Arabidopsis thaliana: one gene and its partners. The protein of the gene in region 2 interacts with the protein of the main gene of each other region in a pairwise test. Each region holds a gene or a part of one and is shown on either strand. Other genes may lie near its edges.

Evidence for each region.
Region 1: the proteins of CLE3 (region 2) and WAK3 interact in a protein complementation assay, tested with the Arabidopsis thaliana proteins (one large-scale study listed by BioGRID).
Region 3: the proteins of CLE3 (region 2) and HHP4 interact in a protein complementation assay, tested with the Arabidopsis thaliana proteins (one large-scale study listed by BioGRID).
Region 4: the proteins of CLE3 (region 2) and NHL3 interact in a protein complementation assay, tested with the Arabidopsis thaliana proteins (one large-scale study listed by BioGRID).

The regions. Positions count from the first base shown.
Region 1 is NC_003070.9:7,431,975-7,437,450, forward strand, and holds WAK3 (wall associated kinase 3), read left to right. Parts: upstream 1-2,260; 5' UTR 2,261-2,328; coding exon 2,329-3,205; intron 3,206-3,306; coding exon 3,307-3,465; intron 3,466-3,538; coding exon 3,539-4,728; 3' UTR 4,729-4,856; downstream 4,857-5,476. Other genes in the region: WAK5 (wall associated kinase 5), read left to right, coding at 1-372; AT1G21245 (Protein kinase superfamily protein), read left to right, coding at 4,868-5,368. UniProt on the Arabidopsis thaliana protein: Serine/threonine-protein kinase that may function as a signaling receptor of extracellular matrix component. Binding to pectin may have significance in the control of cell expansion, morphogenesis and development.
Region 2 is NC_003070.9:1,904,094-1,907,083, forward strand, and holds CLE3 (CLAVATA3/ESR-RELATED 3), read left to right. Parts: upstream 1-1,824; 5' UTR 1,825-1,881; coding exon 1,882-2,133; 3' UTR 2,134-2,205; downstream 2,206-2,990. Other genes in the region: MEE5 (Ribosomal protein S5/Elongation factor G/III/V family protein), read left to right, coding at 1-78, 392-490.
Region 3 is NC_003075.7:17,698,905-17,703,806, forward strand, and holds HHP4 (heptahelical protein 4), read left to right. Parts: upstream 1-1,729; 5' UTR 1,730-1,981; intron 1,982-2,081; exon of another isoform or gene 2,082-2,102; 5' UTR 2,103-2,311; coding exon 2,312-2,577; intron 2,578-2,669; coding exon 2,670-2,922; intron 2,923-3,010; coding exon 3,011-3,664; 3' UTR 3,665-4,048; downstream 4,049-4,902. Other genes in the region: AT4G37682 (hypothetical protein (DUF1399)), read left to right, coding at 4,557-4,615, 4,699-4,738, 4,812-4,902. UniProt on the Arabidopsis thaliana protein: May play a role in abiotic stress response.
Region 4 is NC_003076.8:1,929,981-1,933,847, reverse strand, and holds NHL3 (NDR1/HIN1-like 3), read left to right. Parts: upstream 1-2,079; 5' UTR 2,080-2,136; coding exon 2,137-2,832; 3' UTR 2,833-3,052; downstream 3,053-3,867. Other genes in the region: AtPOT1b (Nucleic acid-binding, OB-fold-like protein), read right to left, coding at 3,053-3,256, 3,332-3,484, 3,583-3,641, 3,722-3,798. UniProt on the Arabidopsis thaliana protein: Confers resistance to Pseudomonas syringae pv. tomato DC3000 (Pst DC3000).

The DNA of each region.
Region 1 (5,476 bases), 5.5 Mb from region 2:
TTTGAACGGCCACAAAGCTCAAAACATCTAGTGAGTTACTTTGTTTCTGCCATGAAAGAAAATAGGTTGCATGAGATTATTGACGGTCAAGTTATGAACGAGTATAATCAGAGGGAGATCCAGGAATCTGCAAGAATTGCTGTTGAGTGTACAAGAATTATGGGAGAGGAAAGGCCAAGTATGAAAGAAGTAGCTGCAGAGTTAGAGGCCTTGAGAGTCAAAACAACCAAACATCAGTGGTCAGATCAATATCCCAAGGAGGTTGAGCATTTGCTTGGTGTTCAAATCTTATCGACGCAAGGTGATACCAGTAGCATTGGCTATGACAGCATCCAGAATGTAACAAGGTTGGACATTGAAACTGGCCGCTGATATTTATCAATCTTTTGTTTGTGAAAAAGTAAAGCCACTTATTTATTGCTTATGTCCTATATGTTTCCTAACACTTCAAAAAAAACAGAGTATCAAAACATGATATTCAAGAACATTTATGCTCGAGAGATCCGTTGTAGATCATCAATTATTCATTTTATAACTCCATTCGATTGGTAAGCTAACCAGTAGACGATTCGGTATGAGAAAAATTAAGAATTCATGAATCTACTAGCAGAGATATTGATATACTGTTGTGGTTGCAAAACAATAACTCGAATTTAAAGGGCTCAGTTGCTTAAAACATCCTATTTGATCCACAGCTTGACTCATATATTGTTTTGGTACTGGCATCTATAATTTAATACTGCGTTTTCTAAATTAACAAAATCATTCTTGCTGCATAAGATTGCTCTGGTTTTGAAGCCATCAAGTTTTCTTATTTTGTTAAAAATTTATGATCTTTAACCATAAGTAATATATATAGTGAAAACATGAGAAAATTTGGTGGATTCTAGAAAAGCACTCTCCGTCAACGTGATCGATATTATGATGAAATGATTACAAAGATGCAATTATATATATCCACGAGCAACAAGACGAAGACAAAAATGTAAACAAGTTAACATATGATTTTGGAATTAGATCAGTAATAAACAAACATATGCACAACTACATGAGAAGTAAAAACTAGTAAACGAGAAATCTCTAACTTAAGATGCGTGGTATGTACGTAACTCCAAAAGAACAACTTGACATTTTTTTTTTTTTTTTTTTTTTGAATGTAATGTTAAATTATATTCAAGAAAAATAACGTTTTTGATACAAGGCTTTGAAAGTATGAAAGAACAACTTGACTATTTGATAAACAACTTGACTCATATATTGCTCTGTTATTAAAATTTTAATACTGCGTTTTCTAAATTAAATTATCATTCTTGCTGCATAAGATTGTTGTGGTTTTGTAACCATCAAATTTTCCTTTTTTGTTAAAACTCTGATCTTTAGTAAATTGAGAAAGCTACCTCTACTATACCCTTAAAATCTCTAAGTCTGGTCTGTCAAAGATTATTTTAATCATCAAACAGTGTATTTTCAGTTTTTTCTCAAGATTTTCCCTCAGTTTCTTTGAATGAATCTGGTTTCTTTCGGTGAAAGAGTGCTGGTCGTAATTGAGTTTGGTTTGTAATATATTACTTAAGTGTCGTGTCTGTTAAGTTAAAGTAGTTATGTTTGTTGTGTCACAAGAAAGAAGAGTCATAACTCTTGACTTTTCATGTCTGTTGGTTTGTATTTAAGTTAATTGTTGTAAACCTTGTAAAACAGTTGTTGTATTTCACTTTCTCTATAATAGAAAGACAAGTTCTTCTCTTTATTGTTATGTTGACGATCAAACCAATTGTGATACAAAGTCTGATTCTCTTTCTCTGTTCTTAACTCTGTTCTGTTTCTAGAAGGAGATTCAGTTTCTAACAAAGTGGTGGATTTGCATGGAAATTTCTCATAGATAACCTCTTGAAGAGTAAGCAGCGACATGACACATGAGGCAAGAACTATTCAAATTCTTCGAAAACTTGTTGACATTTATAAACTCAACACACACACACACACAAAAAAACTACATATTTCTACTATTACGACAGCAGAAGAAAACAGAGCATGTTGTGATCATGATGAGTCTTATTCCTACATTGTCACTATAACGAGACTTTCATATATGAACAATAAATTGGAGTTTCCTGGAAAAATCAAGACAAGAAAGAAAGGACAGATAAAGAAGTTGACGCATTTATATTTTTCTAACGTCTAGTAGTCTGAATCTTTACTTTTCTTCACATTTGATTATTCAACAATGTCAAATCAGGGGTTACTTTTCAAGCTATAAGAAGCGAATAAGCGATGAGAGAAAACTCAAAGAGAAACAAGTTTAGAGAGAAAGAAAGAGAAAGGTAGAAGATGAAGTTCCAGGAGGGTGTGTTCTTGGTGGTTATTTTCTTCCTTGCATATACTCAGCTTGTGAAGGGGCAACATCAACCTCGCGAAGATTGTAAACTTAAATGTGGAAACGTCACAATAGAGTACCCTTTTGGTATTTCTACAGGTTGTTACTATCCCGGAGATGATAATTTCAATCTCACCTGTGTCGTGGAAGAGAAGCTACTACTCTTTGGCATCATTCAAGTGACCAATATTTCTCACAGTGGCCATGTAAGTGTACTGTTTGAACGATTCTCTGAATGCTACGAGCAGAAAAATGAGACTAATGGAACTGCCCTCGGGTATCAGCTGGGTAGTAGTTTCTCTCTCTCCTCCAACAACAAGTTTACTTTAGTAGGATGTAACGCTTTATCACTTTTGAGCACTTTTGGAAAGCAAAACTACTCAACTGGATGCTTGTCATTATGCAATTCTCAACCAGAGGCAAATGGAAGATGTAATGGTGTAGGTTGCTGCACAACAGAGGACTTCTCTGTCCCGTTCGATAGCGATACATTCCAATTTGGCTCAGTTCGCTTGAGAAACCAAGTTAATAATTCCTTAGATCTATTTAATACTTCGGTATATCAGTTTAATCCTTGCACCTACGCTTTTCTCGTTGAAGATGGTAAGTTTAACTTCGATTCTTCAAAAGATCTTAAGAATCTGAGGAATGTCACGAGGTTCCCTGTGGCACTAGATTGGTCTATTGGAAACCAGACATGTGAGCAAGCTGGAAGCACAAGAATATGCGGTAAGAACAGCTCATGTTACAATTCTACTACTAGAAACGGGTATATCTGCAAATGTAATGAAGGTTATGATGGGAATCCATACCGTTCAGAGGGTTGCAAAGGTACTTCATATTAATTTCTTTGCTTTCTTTCTTCTTTTGAGTGTTTATAATCTTCCTCATACGTTTTTGGTTGCATCTTGTGCACTTATTCCTTTGGTCAGACATCGATGAGTGTATTAGTGATACACATAACTGTTCGGATCCAAAAACCTGTAGAAACAGGGATGGAGGCTTCGATTGTAAGTGTCCATCTGGTTACGACTTAAACTCCAGTATGAGCTGCACGAGGCCCGAATACAAACGGACTCGAATTTTTCTTGGTAAACACTCTTCACTGGTTCTAGATTCTCTTTAAATCAACTCGCTCTAATCATCTATGCATGATGTTATCAGTAATCATAATCGGCGTCTTGGTCCTCCTGCTTGCTGCGATCTGTATACAACATGCAACGAAGCAAAGGAAGTATACCAAGCTCCGACGACAATTCTTTGAGCAAAATGGTGGTGGCATGTTGATACAGCGACTTTCAGGAGCAGGGTTGTCAAACATTGATTTCAAAATCTTTACTGAGGAAGGCATGAAAGAGGCAACTAATGGCTATGATGAGAGCAGAATCTTGGGCCAGGGAGGTCAAGGAACAGTCTACAAAGGGATATTGCCGGACAACACTATCGTTGCTATAAAGAAAGCTCGGCTTGCAGACAGTAGACAAGTAGATCAGTTCATCCACGAAGTGCTCGTGCTTTCACAAATTAACCACAGGAACGTGGTCAAGATCTTGGGTTGCTGTCTAGAGACTGAAGTCCCCTTGTTGGTCTATGAATTCATTACCAATGGCACCCTTTTCGATCACTTGCACGGTTCCATTTTTGATTCTTCTCTTACATGGGAACACCGCCTCAGAATAGCGATAGAAGTCGCTGGAACTCTTGCTTATCTTCACTCCTCTGCTTCTATTCCAATCATCCATCGCGATATCAAAACTGCAAATATTCTCTTGGATGAAAACTTAACTGCAAAAGTAGCCGACTTTGGCGCTTCTAAGCTTATACCAATGGATAAAGAGCAGCTCACAACTATGGTGCAAGGCACTCTAGGCTATTTAGACCCAGAATACTATACCACAGGGCTTCTGAACGAGAAGAGCGATGTGTATAGCTTTGGGGTAGTCCTCATGGAACTGCTCTCAGGTCAAAAGGCATTGTGCTTTGAACGGCCACAGGCTTCAAAACATTTGGTGAGTTACTTTGTTTCTGCCACGGAAGAGAATAGGTTGCATGAGATTATTGACGACCAAGTGTTGAACGAGGATAATCTGAAGGAGATCCAGGAAGCTGCAAGAATTGCTGCAGAGTGTACAAGGCTAATGGGAGAGGAAAGGCCAAGGATGAAAGAAGTAGCTGCAAAGCTAGAAGCCTTGAGGGTCGAGAAAACCAAACATAAGTGGTCGGATCAGTATCCTGAGGAGAATGAACACTTGATTGGTGGTCACATCTTGTCTGCACAAGGCGAAACCAGTAGCAGCATTGGCTATGATAGCATCAAAAATGTAGCAATATTGGACATTGAAACTGGCCGCTGATATTGCTCACAAAATCACATGTATCTCTTTTGTTTGTAAAAAAAGAAAACCACTTATTTGTTGCTTCATCAATATGCTTTGAGAGCTTGTTTGTTCATCATCAATAATCATGTTCATATTTTCCTTTACTTGGTATACTATGGTGCAAGGCACTCTAGGCTATTTAGACCCAGAATACTATACCACAGGGCTTCTGAACGAGAAGAGCGATGTGTATAGCTTTGGGGTAGTCCTCATGGAACTGCTCTCAGGTCAAAAGGCATTGTGCTTTGAACGGCCACAGGCTTCAAAACATTTGGTGAGTTACTTTGTTTCTGCCACGGAAGAGAATAGGTTGCATGAGATTATTGACGACCAAGTGTTGAACGAGGATAATCTGAAGGAGATCCAGGAAGCTGCAAGAATTGCTGCAGAGTGTACAAGGCTAATGGGAAAAGAAAGGCCAAGGATGAAAGAAGTAGCTGTAGAGCTAGAAACTTTGAGCGTCAAAACAACCAAACATAATTGGTCGGATCAGTATCGAGAGGAGAATTTACACTTGCTTGGTAGCAACATCGTGTCTTCCCAAGGCGATACCAATAGCCGTGGTTATGACAGCGTCAAGAATGTAGCATTGCTTGACATTGAAGCTGGCCGCTGATAAATTTTGTTTGTTAAAAAGTATATTGTTTAATTCTTTATTGTTTATCTCCTTTTGTCTTTATAAACATAACCAGAATATCAAAACATGACATTCAAAAACATTGAT
Region 2 (2,990 bases):
ATCCAGTTGCGCCCACTTGAGCCCGCTCCTATTCAGCATCTAGCTCGGGAATTCATGGTCAAGACCCGCCGTAGAAAGGTATTATGATTTCCTTTGTTTCAATGCACATCCCAAAACTTAGTGGGTTTCATGCGGTTAAAGATACGAATGAAACCATAAACTGATTTGTTACTCTAGTGTTTGGTTAAATGACCCCAGTAAACCCTCACAAACCAAAGGATCCCCGAAACTACTGTTTACAAACCCGGCCCTTGCTAATTACTCTTTAACCAAGTAACACCAGCTATAATTTGCTGGATACATCCTAGGCTAGTTATATTGTATGACTCGTTGGGTGTTTGGATCATCAGTTTCAGACTCTCACGATATGTATAATTTGTTGGTTATGCAGGGAATGAGCGAAGACGTCAGCGGAAATAAATTCTTTGATGAAGCGATGATGGTAGAGCTTGCCCAGCAAACAGGCGATCTCCATCTGCAGATGATTTGATGATCTCTGCACTTTTTTCATATAAATCGTGATTCAGGACTAGTAGTAGTATCTTCTCTTCTCTATATATGTGAAAGGAGAACAAGAAAATGTGGATCAGTTTTGTAATTGATGTGTCAAATTTACGTTGTAAGTTGAGAGATTTTAATGAACTCAACAGTCCACATGGTCACACTCACACATGACTCGCAAATAGTTGACAGGAAATGTTCACAAATTTTTGTAAAATTGTAAACTACTATTGGATTATGGGAAACTGAACTAGGTTATGACACTATCATTTATAAGATGATCTCATAGTTTGTTGTCTATATGATTAGTAATTATACATATGATACAGAGAACGTACGATCCAGATCCTATTTCCGCAAAGAGTTTTCTGCATAACTAAGATTTGATTCTTCAAAAATGCTAAATTTAAAGATAAACCAGGTCAATGGCACAAACCTATCTAGATATAAGTAAGTTTTTCTTCATAATTTAATTTAGTGCACACAGACGACTTATTTTACTCCAATGAAAATCGGTTAATTCGTCAAACGTCACTACTTGTCTCAAAGATTTGTTGTGCTTTACTATTTTCGTCTATTTCATGCTTCCATAATCAGCTTTTTACGTTGACGTGCTCTTTACAAATCGAAGTGGACGTGGCGGCAACCACTTATACTTATTATACATAGAATAAAGCTACAAAATATATAGTTAAGGCCCTGGTGGATTAATATATACATCGTTTAAGGTTTTAGATTGGTCTCCTCCACCTTATTTTATGTGCATTGCCAACTCTGAAAACGTCATGCCTTATCTTCATTGGTTATATCCATTTGGCTCCATCAACCAAACGACGATAATGATTTTCCACATATCCTATATACATTTGGGTTCGGTAGAATTACTACAATACTCAAATTGCTTTTAATTTATGTTTTAGTTTATGGAATATGAATTGTGAGTTTTTTAAAAAATAATCTCCCAATTAAATATTATTAGCTTTTAAGTTTCTATTTCAAGTGAAATCAGTTAGCTATGCATGTCATTCAATATAGACATAATTTTGTTTTCTTCCATTCGTTTTACAATTTTTAACTAACAGAAATTATACATTACGTCACTTACTACGTTCCCACTAAAAATAGAGGCAAATGCAATCAAGTGATGACGACCTTTCAAAAATAAATATTAAGAGATATATAAGAAGGGACTAGCTAGGTAGATATGACTAGATTCCAACTTAATTAACGTATTTAATTTCTGCATAGATGGACGTTAATTAGGACTTTAGCTTCTCTATAAATACCGTAGCTATTGAGCTTATATATGGAGATCACCCCCTTAAAATCTTCAAAGACTATATATCTCACCTTTAAGAACTAAGAGGAAGTTACATATATATGGCAAGTCTCAAGTTATGGGTTTGTTTGGTCCTGCTTCTAGTACTCGAATTGACATCGGTGCACGAATGTCGACCATTGGTTGCCGAAGAGAGATTTTCTGGTTCAAGTCGTTTGAAAAAGATAAGACGTGAACTTTTTGAGAGGTTAAAAGAGATGAAGGGGAGATCAGAAGGCGAAGAGACGATCCTTGGAAATACTCTTGACTCAAAGCGGCTTAGTCCCGGTGGTCCTGACCCGAGGCATCACTGACACTGACCATAGAAGAATGCAAAAAAAAATGTGTAATGTAACATTTTTGGGAGAGTTTTAATATGATATTACAACTTTTTAACTTATAATGTAATATTCTTATGCTGTAGTTAATTTTCTGTCTTTCCACTAATGAAGCATTTCTGTTTACATGATCTCGTTTTTATGTAGTTCCTGCATGCATCTTTCTTTAGCAAATATGTTCTATTTAAAAAAGCAGCATGTTATGCTTATTTTGAGAGCTATTCCCATTTTCACTAAATATGAGTTCATACTATTCAAGTTAATTAAAAAACACCATTTAGCTTATTTCTTATATCTAAAATTCACAATTATAACTAACAAATAATTACATAGATATACTATATAACATATATCAACATCACTTAGTTTGTATTTGAAATAATCAATCTATATACTAAAAAAAGAAAAACATTACCTTTATAACAAAAAATGAGTGAAACTTTAATGGAATTTTTCACCAGCAGAAATATAGTGAATCTAAAAGCATTCAAAATTTTCTGAAGCAAGATTTTTTTTTTTCAATTGCTTGTCAGCATCACATATTTGTCAGAAATAATGAATAAACTTGACAAAAAATCTTGCTTTAGAAAATATACAAATATTACAATACATATACAAAATATACTAACTTTAAATATTAATTTAATTAGTACCAGATTTAAGAAAAAAATCATTCAAAATTATAAATTGTTTTATTTATTTTACTTGAGTTCTCTCTCTTTTTTGTTGTTGTTGATTACAGATGTAAATGTTTATGGGTAGAGCTTCTTTATGATATACGCGAAATTGATTAGTTTTTAGGCCCAAACCTAAAAAGCATTCCGGGTCGGGTA
Region 3 (4,902 bases), on a different chromosome or scaffold from region 2:
GGTGACGGCTGATTACGGTCGGAGAAGGCGGCAGTAGTACCGTAGTGGGACCCACGGTAAGTAGGTATTTTATTTATTGTTTATTTTTCCATATTTTCTTCAATAGTCTTTTTCTATTATTATTTATTGTTTATTTTTCCATATTTTCTTCAATAGTCTTTTTCTATTATTATTTATTGTTTATTTTTCCATATTTTCTTCTTTAGTCTTTCTCTATTACTATTTGACGGAACTCTTTGAATGTCTGGTCGTTACAAGCTTAAGTTGTGTCCCCACATGGAAGTTATTCGGTTGGGTCCATCGAAGGAAAATTGATTGAACCGGTCTGGTCATTCTCTCCCAAACTATAGAACCAATTTCGGTCTGCATCGGAGTTTCGAAGTCGCGGACTTATCAGAGTGGGCTTTTTAAGGAATGTTTTTAGAATATTTACCAGCCCAATCCCATTTTAAGTATGTCCAGATCTTAATTTGGCGAGCCTTTTTATATATGGTGAACAACTGATTCTAATGTGTATGTTTCACTTTTATTAGAGAAAAAATGTGAAAAGATTTAATGTGTATGTTTCACTTTTATTAGAGAAAAAATGTGAAAAGATTCTTAAAAGTATTTATTTATGCTAATTGGCAAAACTAAAACATCAATTTATGTACATCATTTTAGTTCTTCCTCTAAGATTTGATTGATTTGTATTAATGGCTCTGAATACTGATACTAGTTTCGTTGGCAAGTAAGATAAGTGATAACTTTGATAAAGAGTGTCAAATTACAAGTGCCACAATTTGGAGTACGTAACCAAATTGACATAAAACTTGAATAGGTGAAAAAACGAGCCAGAAAAAAAACGAATATCTTCTGCTTATCCGAATAAAACGAAAGTAATATTCTTACAAGATCCTTCCTTATGAAGTAGTGCCAGTAGATATTTTTATCATTGTGATTGCGACCTGTTTGTTGCGATTCATTTATGCCAATTCACGTTACTATTTATGTTGTGATAAAATCTTTTATTTTTCTTCTTCTTTCCAAATACTTAAGTATGCATGATTATTGATCCGTACAAGCATAAACGAAGAGCTATAAAGTCTCCAACGGTAAACGTACGTGAACCAAAATAACAATTCAATATTATGGTTCGAATTATTCTGTGTATTTTATGTAAGAAAATAACCAAAACCGACTCGAAACAAAACAAAAAAATCTTCTGAAATGTGAATCTTTATTTCGGAAAATTCTTAACGATAGATAGTTTTTGCTTTAAAATTAAATCCAAACATAAACTAGAACTGAAATTCAATTCGTTGTCAATATTTTCTATACAAAAAAAAAAAAGAAATCCGACCAAATAAACAAAACCATAAATAGACATCTCCATTTTTAGTTGAAAGATGATTAAATGCAATAAATGTGCCACAATCATAAATTTTTCCTTTTCACCTAATTGAAAATTTTAATCATTAATAAGAAGAATCCATGGAGCACAATTATTTTATTTTTTATTTTTTGCTCTCATATGGTATGTTAAATTAATTTTCCCTTAATTTAAATTCCCCATATCAAATAAGTTTTTTTTTTTTTGAGAAAGACTTGATTTCATAGGAGAAATATTTGTTAATATTTTCGACAAAACATTTTCTCTGTTTGATGTATTTCCATCCTCGTACAATAAATACTCTAGCTATTAAATTCTTAGCCCAAACGAAAATAAAGAAAAATAAAAGGGTCCTACTAATAAACAAAACAAAACTAGTGGTCCCAATTTGAAATATATAAAAATATATAAAATTCATAAAGCTTTGTGGCTTCAGAGCTTCCACTTCCATCGTCGTCTTCTATTTTTTCTTCTTTCTTCGATTTCATACCAAAACAAGAACTCTCTGTTTTCGACAAAAACGAAACCTTGAGATCTATTTTGATTGACTTTTAAGAAAGAGAGAGATCTTTCTTAGAAGATTTTGTCTCGTCGGCATTGAAGATCCAGGTAACAAAATCTCACCTTTTCTCTCCTAATTTCACGAAATCGAAGAAAAATTCTCATAATTCTCTTAATTACTTATCTCTCAATTTCTTAAATCTTACAGGGTTTGTCTTTCGAAATTCAGGTAATTTTCTCAAATCCATTTATGGATTGAAGCTTTAGGTAATGAATGAGCTGAATCTGCATATAAAAATCGATACTTTCATTATCCAGAACAAAACAAGATTTAGCATAAACGTTCAAAATTGAAACTTTGATTCCTAACTTCTTGGAATGATTCAGATTGAGCTAGATTTAGATCTGTATGATTGATATTATGGGTTTGGTTTGTTTATGAGTAGAGAGAAAATGGGTGATGAGGCAGAGATCAAGGAACATTTAAAGCCACAAGCTTCATCTGAAACAATGGACAAGAAACATAATGTGAAAGGGAAGAGGTTATGGCAGAAAGTCAAGTATCAATTGGTGGAGTTTCATTCATTGCCTGCTTATTTAAGAGACAATGAGTACATCATTGGTCATTACCGATCCGAATGGCCGATCAAACAGATTCTTCTCAGCATCTTTACCATTCATAATGAGACTTTGAATGTTTGGACGTAAGTGTTGAATCATGTTTCTTGATGTATCCTTGTTTAAAGTTCAAGAGCCTTGAGTGTGTTTGTGTGTGTGTGTTCTTTGGGATTTGCAGGCACTTGATTGGGTTTTTCCTGTTTTTGGCGCTCACTATATACACTGCAACGAAAGTACCGAGTGTCGTGGATCTTCATTCGCTTCAACACCGTTTACCCGATTTGTTGAGGAAAACAGATCTCCACAAACTTCATTCTGAGCTCATGGCTCGCCTTCCTTCTAGTCCATCTAGTTGGCATGTGATGGACCTTCTTTATAACTGTTTGCCTGAAAGATTTTCTCATGGCAACTACACTGACATGTGTGTTCTGGTAAGAAAAGACTCAATCTTTCTCTCTATTCCTGCAGATTACTGTTTCAAAATGTGGCCAAGTTCATATCTTTGTAATTGCATTGCAGCATTCTGTGAGGGAAGATCTTGCAAACTTGATAGCTCCTTTGATCTTCAGGCCAATTACTCGATGGCCGTTTTATGCATTTCTAGGTGGTGCTATGTTCTGTCTATTAGCAAGCAGCACGTGCCACCTCCTCTCATGTCACTCCGAGCGAGTCTCCTACATAATGCTTAGGCTTGATTACGCCGGCATCGCAGCTCTAATAGCGACTTCCTTCTACCCTCCGGTTTATTACTCCTTCATGTGTGATCCTTTCTTCTGCAACCTCTACTTAGGATTCATAACCATCTTAGGAATCGCCACTGTGCTTGTTTCTCTCCTCCCGGTTTTCCAAAGCCCGGAGTTTCGGGTGGTGAGGGCGTCTCTGTTCTTTGGAATGGGATTCTCTGGCTTAGCTCCGATTCTTCACAAGCTGATAATCTTTTGGGACCAACCTGAAGCCCTTCACACGACAGGTTATGAGATTTTGATGGGTTTGCTTTATGGGTTAGGAGCTCTGGTTTATGCAACTAGGATCCCAGAGAGATGGATGCCGGGTAAATTCGATATAGCAGGACATAGCCATCAGTTGTTTCATGTTCTGGTTGTTGCTGGTGCGTTCACGCACTATAGAGCTGGGCTAGTGTATCTTAAGTGGAGAGATATTGAAGGATGTTGAAGATGAAGATTGAAGATTAGATGGAATCTTTGAATCTTGTTTGTAGTAGCTTCATATAAAAGTTGGATTATGTAAAGTCTTATATGTAATCAAACGTTTAATTGTTTCCTTTATTCAACAAAGGATTTATATTGTTAATCCACATATGTATTACTGGTTAAAGAAGCTGAAGGATTCATATTTTTAGATGATTCCAGTCTTGATTGCAGCATTCAAAGTATCATAATCCAGTGTCAACCTCATATAGCCTCCTTGTGAACCTGACACAAGCCTAATTGTTCCATGGCAGAGGATACTTTGATTCTGATCTTCTTCTTGAAGGTTTCCCCTGATTGGTATACATTTCGAATGATCCATAAGTGTTGATAAACTACAAGTACACAAAATATGAAACAAAATCTATGCACATCAATAAAAATTCAGAAATCAATAAAATTTACTCTGAAAATGCAGAACATTTATAAGTGTTTGTTATTGTTTTCAATATATGAGAGGAGGAGCTCCCCTACTATTTTTATATTTTTAGCCAATGAGAGAGCTCCACTTCATACCCCACTTTTACCAATCGTGCTATTTCACAGCCACTCTCACTCATGTCGCGTTGAGCGCGTGTCTACGATTTCTAAAGGGGTTAATCCACAAAAATCATGCATTTTTGGATCCACGCACCTCATTCTCAAAAACCCATCGCGTGTCGTATTTTTTTTGGTTTTCTTCTCTAAACCAAATTAAACCGAACCGAGATCAATTTGAATTTCAAAACCAATGTAAACCCATCGCTGTGAAAACAAAAAGCTCGGCCACTGTAACAACAAAAATGGAGACGACACAACTTGGAAGAGAAATCAACTCGAAATAGCCAAGAGAATGTTCGTAAACCCCCTCAAATCCGATGCTTCCTTTGATTCCAACCTCCAAAAGCCCATCTGCTCAAACGAGGAGTATTACAAGGTACCTCTATAGAACAAGTATTCACTTCCATTCCCTTACTTGTGTTAGTTCAGCGCTTGAGAAATATTATGATCTTGTTTCAGACTTTCAGCTGTCAAGAGACAAGGCCCGTTTTACTATCAGGTAAAATCATGGTCAGCTTCTTGTCCCAAACCACATTGTTGTAATCGAATTTGTTTGTGTGTCTTTGTTGCAGGTTTCAAGAGCTCATGTAGATAATGATGACGTCTTTCTGCAAGAAGCTCTGGCTAGATACAAAGCATTTCTTATAATTTTGGTTTTCTCGA
Region 4 (3,867 bases), on a different chromosome or scaffold from region 2:
AAACATAATTTTAATTGAAAATCTTCGAAACATTGTACTGAAAATTTGCCATACGTAATCTAGGTAATTGATCAGCATGATGAGAAACTTTACGCCCATCAATCCATGAATATACAATCCTAGTTTGGAACCGAAGTTATACTGTAAAAAAGCAGATGATAAAAACACACAATTGTCTACATAACCTTCCCTTTTTGCCTTTTTGAAGTCATACATTTTATTAAGCGTGTAAATGATCAAGACTTGAATATATACATAAAGATTCGATTTTGTTCATCTAGAGAAATTCATAACCAAAACATAGAATAAACATTCATAACCAAAGGATAACGTAAGTAAAATGAATCATGGAGTTGTATCATTGGTCCACTGGTTAACACGATACAGTTTCGACTTTCGAGTCGTATTGTATTCCAGATTTTAACAATGATTAACAACACAAAATTATGGTGACAACCACCAAATTAGAATTAGTAATAGATTACATGAAAAGTATACCCTATATGTTACTTCCTTAGATATATGTCCATTTAAACTTTAGTGGACATCTATTCAACGCAATTTCTCAATAATTTATTCGGATGAATATCGGAATTGAGTAGATAGGGATCGGTCGTCGGTTCCTCCATTTTCAAAACCCTAAGAACAACCAAAGTCTTCATCATTTATTTGTCCAATTCCAATGATCTATTTCGTCCAAACGGCTAAGATTGAAGGAGTCTTCGTGAAATATTTGTTGTCTAATTTAGTTTAATGTTTTATCACCACACACATTGACACCGCATTAAACTCTAACAAGTTTTTCAAACACGTTTGTTCATCACCAGGTTTTTCTTTAAAATTATTGTGTATTACTTATCATATACAATGAAAATTATTGTTATACCGTATAACACATAAAAATTTCTTAAACTACATTGACTACTTTAATAAATAAATAAAACACATTACATCTCATATTATAAGAATACTTTTTTTAGTTGTTACATTTGTTTTTATAAATCCTCCATAGTTGTTTTAAAGTTTAATATGATTGAGTTGCGATCTAGTATTATTATTCTTTATTAAATATGCTTGACCTTTCTCATTGAAGAAAGATGTAAACATTTGAAAGCATGGCTTCACCTAATCTTCCTTTCAATTACAGGTCACATCATCCAACTCTAAACACCAACCTCCCTTAGTTTTCCTTGCTTTTAGCATTATAACATTAACAAGTCTTTGCAATGTTTAATTTTCTTTGAATTTGAGAAATCTTTCACATTAAACATTTTCATTAATTGATAATTAATTAAATAACCTTTATCAGTAGAACTGTTCTCATAGTTATAAAATAAACATTTGGAAAACCCCACCTCAGTTTCAACTTGCAACCTATAGATCAAAGTTATTTCATTTCATCATGTTATATATATAATGTCGAAATTCTTGACCGGGACTGGTTTGTCTTTTTCTAACTTTGTATAGGCTTATTGATATTTTGGCCACATTTTCTATTTTTGTTCTCAAAAGTCTTTCGTCAAGTTTAAGAAACAATGGCTATATTAGAGCAGTCGCTTTTGGGGAAGTTTCTCGGAAGCTTAGTTACATTGTAAAAATGACTATTCACAATTCACAAACTAACTACCGCACTAAGTATCATCACATTCTCACATGTCTTATATAATAAAAGAATATATAAATAAATATCTACATATGGATATTCTTGTATGCGATCGGCACTAACCTCATTAATCACCAAATCATGTATATATGGATTCAAGAAATAATCTCATTAAGCTTAACCAAAGTATACATAGTCAAATTGAAGAAGAAACCATATAGTAAAATTTAAGAAACAATCTTTAATGTATATCAAACTGTTAATCCTAAATATCTAATAACAATCTCGCAAGTAACCTCTACTTAAATCAAATTTTCATCGAACAATATTAAACCGACGCGTCACCTTTGACTTTGAAAAAACAAAACCGCGTCAAATTAAATCGTTTTATCTAATACACGTTATCTCTACAGTGTATATATATTACGGCCTCTTCTTCTTCACTTCAAATCATATTTACTTTTTCAAAATCTTATCACAAACCAAAAAAAACTTTCTTTCAAAATCGTTCTCTGAGGCATTTTAACGAACAGATGGCGGACTTAAACGGTGCGTATTACGGACCATCGATTCCACCGCCGAAGAAAGTCTCTCACAGCCACGGCAGACGCGGCGGTGGATGCGGTTGTTTAGGTGACTGTCTTGGCTGCTGCGGCTGCTGTATCTTAAGCGTCATCTTCAACATCCTCATAACCATAGCCGTCTTATTAGGCATAGCTGCTCTAATCATCTGGCTCATTTTCAGACCCAACGCTATCAAATTCCACGTCACCGACGCTAAACTCACCGAATTCACACTCGACCCAACCAACAACCTCCGATACAATCTCGATCTCAATTTCACAATCCGTAACCCTAACCGCCGGATCGGTGTTTACTATGATGAAATCGAAGTCAGAGGATACTACGGTGATCAGCGATTCGGTATGAGTAACAACATCTCGAAGTTTTACCAGGGACATAAGAACACGACGGTGGTTGGAACTAAACTCGTGGGACAGCAATTGGTGCTGCTTGACGGCGGAGAGAGGAAGGATTTGAACGAGGATGTGAATTCTCAGATCTATAGGATCGATGCCAAGCTGAGACTTAAGATTAGGTTTAAGTTTGGGTTGATCAAGTCGTGGAGGTTCAAGCCCAAGATCAAGTGCGATCTCAAGGTTCCTCTTACCTCTAATTCAACCAGCGGGTTTGTTTTTCAGCCGACCAAGTGTGACGTTGACTTTTGATTGCTAGTCAAGAGTCAATGCTATTATAGTCTTCTTCGAGTTCATCATATTACACTTGTTTATTGATTCTTATTTTAGATTGTTTTGCTTTATTATCTTCCATACATATCGTTGGAGAGAGATATTTTTCTTATGTAATGTTTTATTGTATGGTTCCATGTAAATAAATAATCACATTTTGTTTAATGCTAATAACTATACAATTAGCATTATGATTGTCTCATGAAGCATTGATCCAAGTATCAAAAATGCGGAATCTTCTGCTTTCCCACTGATCCATTTTGTGTTTGTAGAATGAGAACAAGCAACATTGTACCCATGGAGGATTTCTTGGCACTTTCTCCATCTCTTCACCTCCCAACAATCTATTCAGCTTCTTGACTAGAGCCTCTTCATCAGATTCGTCACACCCGAAAAACTTTTCCTGTAAAAAGATATACAGATATAAGTATTAGACAATCCTTCAATGAACACTAATAATTAATCGTGTTTTACTTACCCCTTCATCAGCATATAGAGAAGCATGGATTCTGGCGGTTGCATCTTCTAGTATAGCTACCAATTTGATATTTCCGTTGATATCACGGAGTTTTCTGACGTCTCGGGGATACACTTGTATGAACCGAACAACACACCTGAATTTAGCAGTCACCTGCATAATAAGCATCAGTAAAACATCAATTCAAGAAAGTTTTCACTATACTCTTTTCCTACAACTTATGATAAATCCAAGGTTTTTGGATACATTACATTGTGATAGGTCAGGATGTCCATCAGAGAAACAAATGGAGCATCGTCATGGGCAACCCCTAGAAAAGATTAAACCATAAGTATTATATTAAACGTTATGTCAAATTTCCACAATTCCAAACAATTAGCTGGTTATTACCTGTGATTTCAGAATGTGAACGACTAATGCAACGCGCGATTGGGTTCCATCTCGGTGAAAACTTCTCCCCACACATTCTGAAATGGTAAGAAAGTGTGTTTTAAACTGAAGAACAAACGGACGAAGCAGAACATCAACTCACAGGA